2 linked regions of the Rattus norvegicus genome follow. The protein of the gene in region 1 interacts with the protein of each later gene in a biochemical or structural test. Links are inferred from orthologs where the notes say so. Each region holds a gene or a part of one and is shown in the gene's direction. Other genes may lie near its edges. The genes, in order: Dyrk1a and Dcaf7.

Region 1 (6,605 bases):
CACATGTTAGTGTCCTACAGCCTCCTCCACTCACGTGTCAAAGCCCTGCTGGAGCTGCAGTGACACAGACTTTCTGTGAGCCTTCCCCCACCTGCAGAGATGATGGTCATGTGATCCTTGCTCCCGCCACTCATTAAAGAGTGGATTTTTTAATAGACATGCAATATTTTATCCTGATCTGTGATAAAAGCACACTTGGTCCTGGCATTTCATGTAGCACTGAGTTAAATGCTGGTCTGGTAAGAGTGGTATTCTCATATGTAGTAGTGGTGTTCCTGATGTAGCCTGTAATTTGTTTTTTTTTTTAACAATTATCTTGAATCTTGTTCCGTTATTTCAAAATATTTGAGAATTTTCTAGATATCTTAATTCATCTCTACTTAAATAGCACCGTGTTTTCCAAATGTGATTTCATTTATTTAAATTATGTAGAGTCTGGTTTTACAGTCTAGAATGGACTCTGTCTTGGTGATTCTTTTCATGCGTATCTGATAACGGAGGGGTGTGTGTGTGTCTGTCTGTCTGTCTGTCTTTCTTTCTTTCTTTTCTCTGTCAACATCCGAGGGGCATTTTAACCTTCAGTGATGTACTAGTTACTTTTCTTGTCACTAATGCCTGGCAGGAAGCAACTTCGTGGAGTATGGCTTTTCTTCAGTGCACAGTCTAGGAGCACTACCTCAGTTCTTCAGGCAGAGGTAGTTCACTGCCTGTTTGAGCTGAGGCTGTTTGCTCGTGGATTTGCTAACCAGGAAGCAGAGGCAGGCATGCAGCTGAGGCTGGGCCTCCCCAGTGCGCTGCCCCCATCTTAGCTCTGTCTGCCTCCTGGAGGCTCTTCTGCCTCTCCAGTCTGAGCTATGCTAGGGACCAAGTATTCAACGCACGGTCAGATCACTTTGAACCATTACAGGCCGTAGTTATGTTGCAGTTGTCTTTAGTTGTGTCATGGTTTTTAAAGGTTTGTTGGTAGTTTTGTTGTGATTTCTGATGAACTGATGCTTATATTGTCATGAAATGTCCTGTATGTGTGTTAGTGCCCTGCCCCGGCAGGTTTTTTATCCTGACAATTTGCATGCGTGTGTGCGTGCATGCGTGCGTGATGGTTGCACACATGAAACTCCTCAACTTTAAACCTTTCTCATCAAGCATGACTTATATGCAACATATAGGCAGGACTTGTTTTAACATCTGCTCCTTTTTACAGTGAATATTTATTTCATTCAGAGCAGTGGGTTTAAGGTTTGTCTTTCATTTAGTTTGTCTGTTTCTCCTTCTTGTTGAGTTTGGAGCTGCTGAGTGCTCTGGAGACTTGTTTTCTCAGCTGACTTCTCAGTTGTGTGTATAGTGTTCAGTGTTGTCTCACAATATGCATCTTTATGTCAGGTTGCCCTTAGATACCTACGCTTTATCCCTTGTATGTTATAACTCCCTTCTAGCTCTTGAGTGCTTGTATGTAAACATCACTTCTGCATGTCTTAGAATCCTTAGAACACATCGACTGTTTACCTCAAGGAAAGGGAAGTGCTGTAGGCACACTGGGTGAGGAGCCCTTGCTGCCATCTTGTATCCGTGTCCCGCCTGTGCCCAGCTTTTTCAGTGCGCAGCTTGTGCTTATGATTGGAGCATCTGCTGCCTCGGGATACAGCTAATCGCTGTCTGTTCTTAAACTGTCTTCACGGGTCAGAATGCTAGATTAGCACGCCCAAGAAAGATGGTCTGCCTCTTTCTTAGGTGCAGTGTGAGGAAAGTCAGTGTTTGTTCTTGGCACTATTTATTGTGATGTGGTTTTCCTTTCCCTTCAGGGTGCTTGAACAGGTTATCTTTATACTTGGTTATTATGCATTTGTGCTCTTTGATTTGTTTTGTGTGTACTCTCAGAGGGTGTTGAAATCCTTGGGTTTGTGAACTGTGCCTTTTGTAGCACCTCAGGTGTTATCAAATGGTTATCCTGACCAGTCTTCCTTCTAGTTGTCTAGTTCCGTGGATGCATGTTCTGCCATGCTCAGTGTTGCCCTGAGATCCTCAGGCTTCAGAGGGGCGTGCAGTAGCACCTACCGTGCTCTTATGTTTTGAATTTGGTTAATATTTTTGCTCTGTTTTTTGGTCACTTTTTTTTTCACCTTGGCTCCCTAACATTCCAAATCTATTCTGCTGTTGGAAGTGTTCAGCAGGCTGGAGAAATACATGTCATGGGCCACTCCTTAAAATCCACCTAAATGGAGGATGTATTTTTGGTACTTTTGTCATCCCAGTGGGGGCTAGGGGCAGGCAAGATGGAGACACCCTGAGGTTCCAGGCCAGTAAGAGACCTGTCTAAAGAAAGGAGAAAGTGACACTGGGGCTGCTTGGTCACAACACGCAAATGTAAAGCAGGGTCTCCACTTAGTATTTTACTTTAAAAATTCATATTTGTCCTTATTTTTTACAGTTTCTCCTTTTCTGAAATCCCATCTATTCATGCATGTTGCCTATCTTCTATTAAACTATATACCTTACACATTTATTACTAAAGTTCCCTGCCTGCTAGTTCCCTGCCTGGGAAACGCCGGGCCATTTGTCAGCACGGATTGTTGACTCATTTTCCCCACTAAATTATAGACTCTGTTATTTGTTTCTGTAATTTTTTTAAAAAAACCTTTTAAAAAAGTTTCAGTTTTTCTGTATTTGAGGATGGCTGACTTGTGTCATTTCCATGAGAAGCAGACACGTCTCTTGTACTGTCAGAAAGGTCTGAGTGTGGGTGTTTAGTGTGTGACTCAGGTTTATTACCATCTGAGGAGGCTCCTTCAAGCATTGTTTGCTTACAACTGAAGGAGGCTCTCAAGCTCTGGACACACTGCCACTCACTAGCAGCCCAGGCATTGTCCTAGCGCCTTTGCTGCCTTCCCTGAGTGGCTGTTAATGCCTTGTCAGATCAAGGCTGAGTTACCCTTGCTTGGGTCTGGCAAGGTGGCCCCTTCTCCCCTTACAGGACTCTTGTAACCTGATAGCAGCTCTTTGGGGCTGGGATGTGGTCAGTATAAGGACACTTGCTGAACATGTACAACTGTGATTTGTCCTGTTTCCTGACTTTAAACAGCAGTTAGCATCTACTTAGCGTTTGTAGAAAGGTGGAAGACGACATTGTTCCCTGTTACTGATGAGTATCAGTAAATGCCATCCTGTGGTTAAGCAGCTCATGAACCATTTTGTAAAAGAAAAGGAGCAGTCAGCTTTTCTCTGTCTGAGTAGGTTTGGGTGGACTGATCCCTCTACTTTGAGTGACATGCACAGCTTTACTGAGCCACCTTTAGGGAGGCAGTGCAGCATGTTCTTTGGTGCAGAGCAAACCTGGCATTGTGATGGGCACTTTAATTCCAGTTGCAGCATTTGGGAGGCAGAGGCAGGCAGACCCCCATGAGTTTCAACCTAACCTGTTCTATGTGTACTGAGCTGCAAGTCAACCAAGACTACACAGTAAGACCCTGTCTCAAAACACACATTACTTAGAGAGTGAAGCAGGTCAGAACCCATTCTGCCCTGCTCTGTGGAAGCCATCATGGTTGGAGATTTGTGGATTTCTGTGTCTTGCTCTGTCTTTGCTTGCTTGTCTCACAGCCTTGAAAGCAGGAGCCATGCTCCTGAGTGAAGCAGCTTTAGAAACCTGGCTTCGGGCGGGGCCAGAGGGCGGGGCTGCTGAGCTCCGCTCTGATATGCCTTGTCTTTGGTTTTGCTCTTAAAACCATACTGAGCATGGGTGTTAGGTGGGCTGGGGGTGGGGGATCTAGCTATTTCAATAATGGTCTTTCTTCACAAAGCCTTGTATATTTGGAGTAGATCATGTAAATGTTACATCTCCTACCAAACTTAGAGACAAGTTTTTGTTCTCTCTTCTCTACAGGAGTACAAACCACCAGGAACCCGTAAACTTCATAATATTCTTGGAGTGGAAACAGGAGGACCTGGCGGGCGGCGTGCTGGGGAGTCAGGTCACACTGTAGCTGACTACTTGAAGTTCAAAGACCTCATTTTAAGGATGCTTGATTATGACCCCAAAACTCGGATTCAACCTTATTATGCCCTGCAGCACAGTTTTTTCAAGAAAACAGCTGATGAAGGTACAAACACAAGCAACAGTGTGTCCACCAGCCCTGCCATGGAGCAGTCCCAGTCTTCAGGCACCACCTCCAGCACCTCCTCCAGCTCAGGTCAGCGGGGTGGGGGTGGGGTGGGGGTGGGGGTGCACACAGCGGGCTGTTTGTAGCTTTCTGTTTGCTGGGGGCAGGGGTGTTTCCTTTCTCTTTAGGTTTTTTGAGCTAGGGTTCCTCTCTGTAGCCTTGGCTATCCTGGACTTTCCTTTGTAGACCATTCTGGCCTTGAACTCACAGAGATCCTCCTGCCTCTGCCTTCTGAGGCTGGGATTTAAGGCCCAGTTCCAGTGTGGGATTCTTTCAGAGTATTTATTATAAACTAATTGTTTGAATTTGAATTTTGTAAATGGGTAGCAAGGGATTGTTTTACTTTAATCTGTTCTGTGTGTGTCTCTTAATTCAGTCTCTGTATACACCTGCCCGGCTGTATAGTTAGTAGCAAATTAACTGTTAAATGAGCACGTGATCACTATCTGCCTGACAGGTAGCAACAAAGCTACTTATAGCCAAGTAAATGGACTTGAATGTCCATTTAAATGGACTCTGTCCTTGAATTTTTGCTTTTCTGAGGAGAACCTGGCTGTATAACAGGTGATGTAGGAAGACATCTAATATTCCAGTAGCTTTGTGGTATATTTCAAGTTAATACCGTAGCTTGAAAGTTTTGTGTATCTGCATATGTGCTGTGTAGTACATGCACGTATGTGTGCATATGTACACACCTAAGGTCACATGTAGGGGCATGACACTGTGTGTCTTCCTTATTACTTGGAAATAGGAGTCCCACTGCACCAGAGTCCTGCTGTTGTATCCAGGCTGCCTGGCCAGTGAGTTCTTGGGAGTGGCACCCCCTTCCCCAAGTCCTGGGGTTCATTCAGGCCAGGTTTTTATATGAATGCTGGAGACCCACACACAGGTCCAAGCACTTGCAGAGCAAGGACTCTTACCTGAATGTCCTTTTTACCCTGAGTGACAGTAACGGCAGTCTTAGATACTAACTTGAGCAGAATTAGCTTTAAACTCACAAGTTATTCCGTGTCCTGATGTTAAAGGTGGATCCTCGGGAACGAGCAACAGTGGGAGAGCCAGGTCGGATCCGACGCACCAGCATCGGCACAGTGGCGGGCACTTCGCTGCTGCTGTCCAGGCCATGGACTGTGAGACACATAGTCCCCAGGTGAGCGTCCCAGGCTCCTGCCACGACCCCACTAGCTTTGGCTGTATGAGCTGCCATGGGCTGTCAGGGTGACTATGTGTGTGTCCTTCGTTCTAAAGGCATGGAGTGTCCTTACTGCTTAGCAAATAAAACTCCGCTCCTTGTTAGGAGTGAGAGCACACATTGGGTAAACACGCTCTCCACTGTCCTCCCAGGTGTCCTCCACTGTCCCTCCACTGTCCCTCCACTGTCCCTCCACTGTCCTCCCAGGTGTCCTCCACTGTCCCTCCACTGTCCCTCCACTGTCCTCCACTGCCCTCCACTGCCCTCCACTGCCCTCCACTGTCCTCCACTGTCCCCCCAGGTGTCCCCAGGTTTATCTTCTCACTTGCCACAGCGGCTTCTGGATGTCAGCAGTTTGCTCCCTGCCTCTCAGTAGGTACTGAGACCTCTAGGTGCACCGTGAGTTTACTCTGTGAGCTGTGCAGTCTGGACCCTGTCGTTAGCCTCTCGGGGCTTCTAGCATTCCTCATCCTGCTTCTGAATCAGTTTGTGATGCACTTTTTTTTTTCTTCTTTTTCTTTTTTCTTTTTTTCGGAGCTGGGGACCGAACCCAGGGCCTTGTGCTTGCTAGGCAAGCGCTCTACCACTGAGCTAAATCCCCAGCCCCTGTGATGCATTTTTAACCTTGGAAGTATTTGCTTTGCTTTTTAAACTTACTGACGTTAATAAGTGTAATAATAAAGTAATGTTAAGGTTTGTGTGGAGCATGTAGGAGGGTAGAACTGTAGAGATGCCATCTTAGCTATGTCTCATTGCCATGGTAAAGACGCAGGTAGAAACAGTGTCAGGATGACAGGGTGGACTCTGGCTCTCAGTTCAAAAGGAAATCATACATTATGTCAGGGAAGACGTGACAGCAGGCAGGGGAAGCAGGGTGGCAGGGTCAGGAAGCCTCTGCAAGCAAGAAAGAGGAAATGGGGCTGCGCTATAGAGCCTCGAGGCCTACCCCATAGAGCCTGGAGCCCTACCCCATTAGAGCTTCAAGACCTGCCCCATAGGCCAGCCTCCTCCAGTAGAGGCTTCACCCCTGTCACTTGCTGCCAGCTGGGGACCAAGCATTCAAACACAGGAAGGAGGTGTTTACTGTTCAGACAAGAACACAGAACCTTAATGAGATAACGCCCCTCTGCACTCTGTGCTACATTTTGATTCTTTGTTCGAGAGGACAGTCGGTTATTTGTAGAGTAAGGAAAATCTGTGCTAGATTGGTGGTCATTCCTTTGTTGTGATTGGGCTGATTGGTTCTTGTGGATAAACTA
Region 2 (7,302 bases), on another chromosome or scaffold:
GACATGCAGACATAGCTAATAAAGTCTTGAACATTTCATGTTGGGTTAGATGTGTAATTTTCCTAGATATCCTCAGGTCTGTGCCTATGCTGAGGCCTTCTCCAAACCCTTCCCACATCCAGTCTGTTGGAGACGTGAGGGTTGTCTCAGCTGAGCTCAGGGTTTCCAAAGCCTGAAGGGAAACAGATTCAGCCTAAGTGTTCATAAAGAATCATGGCCACTTTCAGTGTTTGTTCAGCATTCCACCATTCTGTCCTGCACATAGCTGTTCTGTTAACCCTCGAAAGAGCCTTAGGAAATCATTTTTACTGTCCTCATGAGAGGTCTTGGGTTGGTAGCAGAGTCTGTGGCACTTAGCAGAGCATGAGCAAGCCTTCCGGGCATGTCAGTATTTGCTTTCTGGCGATATGTATATGAATGTGTGCTGGTTGGAAAAACATGCGCACCCCCATATGTAAATGATATTTCAATAAAAAGGTAAACTTAGCACACTAGAAAAGGGAGAACACAGTTTCAATCCATGCCACCTCGCTCGAGAAACCTGTTAAAGCGTCATTGCTTCTCAGAAAGTGCAAATCCATCCCCCGAGTCCATTTTTCCTTCCCTTTGCGATTTCTGTTTGGTGCCTCAGAGTCTGTCTGTGAATATACGAGCACACGTTTGCAAGTGTTTACACGAACTAAAACGTTCACTCTTTGTACCCTTAGTGAAACTTCAACGCTAATTCAAAGCAACATGTGGGGGCTAGCAGGATGGCTCAGTGGGTAAAATGCTTGAGGACCTGAACCCCCAAACCCTAATAAAAGTCCCTGCAGTGATGGTATGTACTTGCAATCCTAGCACTGGGGTGGGGGTGGGAGGCTAAGACAGCAGGATCCCTGAGATTCACTGGCCAGCCATTCTATCCTAATTATTGAACTCGAGGTCAAAGGGAGCCACTGTCTCAAAGGAGGTGGGTAGCATTCCTGAGAACAGCACCTAAGGTTACCTTCTGGCTTCAGCATGCACACACATATATGTACTCATAAACACATGTATGTGTACCTTCTCACCTTCATACCTGCACACAATTTTTTTTTGTTCTTTTTTTCGGAGCTGGGGACCGAACCCAGGGCCTTGCACTTCCTAGGCACAATTTTTTTTAAAAGTAGCTCATGCCTGTAAATGCAGCACTGCAGAATCTGAGAGAGAACAGGCATGGGTAGCAGCCCAGGAACCAGAACAACATACTAAGATAATCCAACCCACACAACTGCAGACATTAGCAAGGATCTGTCAATAATAATCTTAACTGGAAATACCCTGAACTCACCAACGAACATTTAAAAACCAAGAGCGGACTGCCTGTTGCCTCAAAACAAAACAAAGCAACCCAAAACCACTTCAATGGCAAAGACACCTACAGACTGGTAATCACAGGATAAAAGTCAGTCTGTCAACCAAATGGTCACATTGTGTCTACAGCCAGAAAGCAGAGAGGGATGGGTGCCCACACTCAGGGCACCCCAGACCATGGGATGGAATCGCCCACAGTTAAGGTGAGCCTCCAACAAACCCAATCTGAATAATCCCTTCCACGCATTCTCCAAAGCTTGTTAGCGACTCCAGAGTCTTTCAAGTCAGGAATCGTCACAGGACATCAACAGATTCCAAAGAAATTCAGAGGACCATTAGGAATCCCTTTCGAGTTTATATTCTATGCCTGAAAAAAAAAGTCTAGAAAAAAGCGGGTGAATTCCTATACATATATAACCTACAAAATTAAATCAAGAGCATGCTAGCAGTTTAATCAGATCCATAGCAAGCAACAAGTGAAGCAGCACTGAGCCAGGAAATGCCCAGGACTGGATGGATTCATTGCCAAAGTCTACCCACCTCTAAAAAAGACCTGTTGCATAAAATACAAAGACCTCTACTAAGACCGTTCTGCAAAGTCATTATTAGCCCACTGAGAAATCAGAAATGGTGTAACCAATAGAAAATCATGGACCAACTTTCCTGATAAGCACAGAAACAAACTTTTCAATAAAATACATACCTAGACATCCAGTTACTTTTTAATTTTTTTCTTTTTACTATTTTGAAACATTCTCAACTTGCTCAGACTGCCTCTAACTGGCTCTGTAGCCCAGAATGACAGTGACTTTCTGATCCTCCTAACTCTACTTCCCAAGAGCTGGGTTAGAGGTCTGCAACACCAGGGGTAGGCTCTTTGTATTAAAAAAAAAAAAAGAAAGAAAGAAAAAAAAAGTGCAGAGTAGACTTGCTCCTACGGGTGGCCGTTACTAAAAGATGATTGATAAGTGTATACCCTGTCCCTCGAGGCTCCCAGTGTTTGTTTCTGTTAAAATCACATGCATTACAAGTTGTATTTTATGGGCTGGAGAGATATAGTATAGACCTCAAGAGCACTGGATGCTCGTGCAGAGCACGTGGCTTGGAGCCCTGGCTCTCAGATGGTATCTCACAGCCATCTGTAACTCCAGTTCCAAGGGATCAGATGCCTCTTCCGACCTCCGTGGACACTTGTCCACATGTGGTACACTTCCACTCAGGCACATACAAATACCCATAAAATTAAATAACGTATCTTAAAAATTGTGTTTTATAATGCTGCCTAAGCATTCAATATCGTTAAAAGCATTTACATTTATAATGGTGTACCTAGATCCAGGCTTTTCTGCATTTCAAACTCATGGCATATAGATATTTAAGGTTGGATTAGCATTTGGGTTCTGAACACCCCAGGAGAGGAAGGTAAGTTACTAAAAGCCAGGTCCATTGCAAATCAATCCTAGAAGTCAGGAGTCTTTTTAGTATGTATTTGAAAGCCTTAATCAAACTAGCCTGTCCCTGAAGGTCTCTATCAGGCCTGTAAGGGAACAGTTAAAAAGGGGGCATTGGAGCTAGAAAGAGTTCTCGGCTGGCAAAGGCTGAGGGACCGCTGGACTTAGGGCGATGAAATAAAGGCAGGAGGTCATCTATGAAAGTGGATTTGACCGTTACTCTCAGTGGATAGAGGCGATCAGAACAGCAGCAGCAATGGAGAAGTGGCAGGCTTTACTCTTGGCCTAGAATGTGGATCAGTAGCGGGGCACACTTGCCCCTATGTCACCCACGCCCCCATTCACCCGCACTGCGCCGTTATCCGTCTGACTGACATCTTGGGTAGCCAATGATCTTTGGGACTTCAAAAGAGCCCGCCTCCAGGAGCTGGGCGGGGCGAATAAGTAGAATGACAAACATTTTGACCAATTGTGTGGAGGGTGCGGGCGCTACCACTGTGTCGACCAATGAAAAGAAGGAACAGTTTAGAAAGGACGTGCCCGGTAGCCAACGCTCGTCGCCGCTGTGGGGTCGCGTGGCTTCCGTTCCGAGAGGGCGGGCCGACATCCCAAACGGAAGGTGGTAGTCGCTGCCCGAGCTGGTTTGAAACTGGTGGTCCGGCCCGGCCGAGTGTGTGTGTGTAGCTGAGGACCTGCTGGAGGGCTAGGCCGTTCTTGACCGCCCGGGCCCCGCCTCCCCTCGGACCCGCGGACCCAAGCCCCGCTCCCCGCCCGTCTTGTGCCTCAGCCCGCTGCCTCTCCGGCCGTCTCTGCGGCCCAGCCGCCACCATGTCCCTGCACGGCAAACGGAAGGAGATCTACAAATATGAAGCGCCCTGGACTGTGTACGCCATGAACTGGAGCGTGCGGCCGGACAAGCGCTTTCGCCTGGCGCTGGGCAGCTTCGTGGAGGAGTACAACAACAAGGTAAGTTGTGAGGGGGCTCAGCTTGTAGCTGGCGAGGAACGCTCGAGGTGGGCGGCAGCCCCAGATCTCACAAGTCTCCTGCGAACTCGCCTTTACAAGGGGGTGGGTCCTCTGAGGTCCTGTTGCTGAGGGTGTCACACTCGTTGCCTCTTATTTAGTTTTGACAGCCGGGGAAACCGAGGCACGGTGTTGTGACATGCCTGAGGCAGATAAGATTTTTGATGGTAGTAGCAGGTTTCAGACCGGAGTTACACCCCCCAAAGCCATGTCTTCCTCCGTCCCTCTCATTTCCCCCACTTCTGTCGCAGTGCTTCTGTTGCTAGGTGGGGGGCGGGAGAGAGGCAGTGGAGGAAGATGCGGGCGCTTGGATTGGTGGTCGTGCATTCCTGGCCACGCGAGATTTCTGTTGGGGCTATTTATTGCAAGATCTTCCCCATCTCAGGTGTTTCTCATGGATACAGAGCCCTAGTGCTAGGTTGTCATTGGTCACTGGTTTTGCTCCTCGATGTTCACCCTCCCCCAAACAGTCTATCCTTGGAAACCTTAGTCTGTGGCATTATCCCGCCATTATTTCTGAATAGAGAAAGATGACGTTTGACCTATTCTTCTCGTTGTTCCTTACACGTTGATTTGCAACATTGCTGGACATCATCACTCCAACAAAATGCTGGTAGAAGGAGAGTTTTTATATGCAGGATATAGGTTTGAAAGTATTAGGAAGAATTTTCTTTCCCTAATCTCTTACCTTCATTCTTTTGTTGTAATTTGGGTGAAAACAAATACGAACGACAGTAATCAGAGCTACAGAAAGCTGTGGCCAGTGGTGTTTAGAGCCAGTACTCTGGCTTACTCCTATGAACATCAGACTGGAGACAAATGACAAGATGGGGGGGAGGAGTGGAAGAAGTAGATGGTCTAGGATTTAACTATAAGGCATTGCACAGACCGAATTTTTATTTTTTCTGAGAGGGCTTACATGTTTTACATGTGAAGGTCCAGGTGAAAACATTTGAATATTTAGGTTCATTTATAGTATTTCAGGAGCACACATGTTTCTCTGGGTAAAGGTCCCCGTTTCTTTGGAGTCTTCTTTGAGAAATGGATGAAAAGAATGGACTTTGATTGCCCAGACACCACACATATACAGTCCCAGGGAGTGTGTACTGAGCTGCCCTTTCCTAAGGAAGAGCCTTATTTCTTTTCTCCTCTCTAGTGGCTTTTGTCCCCCTCCCCCCCGCCCTCCACCCACAGTGGCAATAACCCTGTAGCTGTGTTTCAGGGTTCTGGTGTCTGTAGTGTTTGTAAGGTTAAGACCACTAGAAATATTATTTAAGGATTCTTGTTAGAAGTAAAAGTAAAATATTCTCAAAGGACTGTGGGGTTTTTTTCACACAAATTAATTTTTTCCCCTTTTAAGTTCTTCCAGAGTTTTTTATCTAAAAAAGGAGAAGTTGAGTGCCTGCAGAGGCCAGAAGAGGGTGTCCCTGAGCTGGAGTTGCAGGCTGTTGTAAGCTACCCAGTGTGAGTGCTAGGAACCGAATGACCACAGGTCTTCTGCAATAGCAGCAAGTGCTCTTGTCAGCTGAGCCATCTCTCCAGTGCCTCATTTAAAACTATGAACATATCCAGTGCCTCCTGAGGAGCAAGTATGTAATATAAAATAACCCTCGAGCTGGGCCTGGTGGCTGTCACCTGTAATCCCAGCCTTTGAAAGGGTGAGGCAGGAGGATTATTATAAGTTTGAGGCTAGCCTGGGCTACATAGTGAGCTCCCAACCAATCAGAGTTACAAAGTAAGACCTTGTTTCAAACAAAAACCCTAGAAGCATGCATCTTTCCTTTGATTTCTGTGGATAATAAACATATACCATTCCTATCTTAAGAGGTTATTATGTTTTGGGACAGTCTCATGTAGCCCAGGTGGGATTTGAACTCCTTATCCACCTGCCTCCACCTCCCAAGGGCAGGGATTACCAACATATGTCGCCCTGTTCCACTACCTTGTGGGTTTTGTCTTTCTAAAATAAAAGTGCCATATCTCCTTCTTTGTTTGTTGTCATAAGCTCTGTGAAGAGAGAGAATTTATTCCACTTTAGGATACACAGTGCTGATGTGGAACTCCATAGTGGTCATTTAAGTGTGGGATAAATGTCTGTGTTATTCAAATCAACCAACACTTGGAGTCATTAATCACTTTCCCAAGCTGTTGGTGTAACCAAACCATGCACGAGGTCCTTGGTTAAATCCGCAGAACAAGAACAAAAACCTTTCTAACTAAGTTATCTGACTCTACCTCATCTTAACACAGAAAGAAACTGAGACGAAGCAGACAACTCATCCAAAGCCACACGAACTGGGGAAGGCATGGCTGTGACTATCATGTGCTAGAGGGAGGACTTTTACAGAGAACCAGGGCTAACTCCTACCACCCACATGGTGGCTCATAACCCAGTTCCAGGGGAACCAACAGGCATTGGTGAAATACACATACACACGTAACAAAATCTAATAAAAATTTAAAGGATTTCCACATGACTGTCAAACATTCTGTACATAAACAAAATTTTAAAAAGCAATCTTTCAAAAAATAAAAACGAGGAAAAAAATAGGCCAAGGGTGGTAATGTGCCTTAAATCTCAGTAGGTCCCAGCTTCAAGGCCAGTCTGGGAGAGACAGCAAGACTGTTTTTTTTAAAGCACCAACATATTTTTTTTTCAATGAGTAAACATGATTCTGCTTCATAGCTCTCCTCTCTAGGGCTTTGTCTCACATGTTGGAGAAAGTTGTGAAGAGTGGCCGCACAAGGCACTGAAGGTAGGAGTCAGACGAGACCCAGCAGAGCAGGGGGAGACTGGAGGGAAAGACTGACCGTCGCAGGATGACAGCTGTCAGGGCTAATTTCCAGCCCTCCCTCAATGTGTAAGGAAGAGTGGTAGGATGCTGGACCTAAGAAGGCTATAGTGCAGAACTGCACTTCTCCACAACAGGAGTTTGTTGGACAAAGGGAAAAGTCTTTTGGGACAAGAAGGAGGAGGACAGGTTGCCAATTACTTGGGAGCCTAAAGAAGGGGAGCATGAAGTCAAGGCTAGCCTGGGCTATAGAGCGAAGTTAAGGCTAGCCAGGTTGACTTTGTGAGAACCTGTCTTAAAAAGTGAAAACAAAGCTGAGGAGAGAGCTGAGTGGGTAGGATTCTTGACTAGTGTGTGCGATGTCCTGGATTCAATCCCTGTGCTGGGAGTGGGGAAAACAGAAATTACACTGAGAAAGAAAGAGTAGGTGTGGGAAGGGAGGCCTGAGTGTAGGCATTGTTGGAGAGGAGCTCCCACCAGAGCAATGAGACAAGAAAACCCTCAGCTATGAGGCTAACAGATGGAGGGAAGAGCTGACATGATGAGTTCTTATGCTCAACCTCAGTAATAAACGGGTGTAAAACATGCCATCTTTTCCTGTTAGATTAGCAGAAAGCTTATTTTTAATTTTTATGTTTTCAGAGATATGGGAGGATTGGCACTTATTTACTGTCAATAAAGGTATAAATGGAAGCAATTTG

Evidence for each region.
Region 2: the proteins of Dyrk1a (region 1) and Dcaf7 form a complex in vitro, tested with the Homo sapiens proteins (2 studies listed by BioGRID). The link is inferred for Rattus norvegicus from reciprocal best matches to the Homo sapiens genes DYRK1A and DCAF7.

The regions. Positions count from the first base shown.
Region 1 is NC_086029.1:47,464,724-47,471,328, forward strand, and holds part of Dyrk1a (dual specificity tyrosine-phosphorylation-regulated kinase 1A), read left to right. Parts: intron 1-3,877; coding exon 3,878-4,184; intron 4,185-5,179; coding exon 5,180-5,304; intron 5,305-6,605. UniProt on the Homo sapiens protein: Dual-specificity kinase which possesses both serine/threonine and tyrosine kinase activities. Exhibits a substrate preference for proline at position P+1 and arginine at position P-3.
Region 2 is NC_086028.1:91,470,514-91,477,815, forward strand, and holds the start of Dcaf7 (DDB1- and CUL4-associated factor 7), read left to right. Parts: upstream 1-3,386; 5' UTR 3,387-3,614; coding exon 3,615-3,752; intron 3,753-7,302. UniProt on the Homo sapiens protein: Involved in craniofacial development. Acts upstream of the EDN1 pathway and is required for formation of the upper jaw equivalent, the palatoquadrate. The activity required for EDN1 pathway function differs between the first and second arches.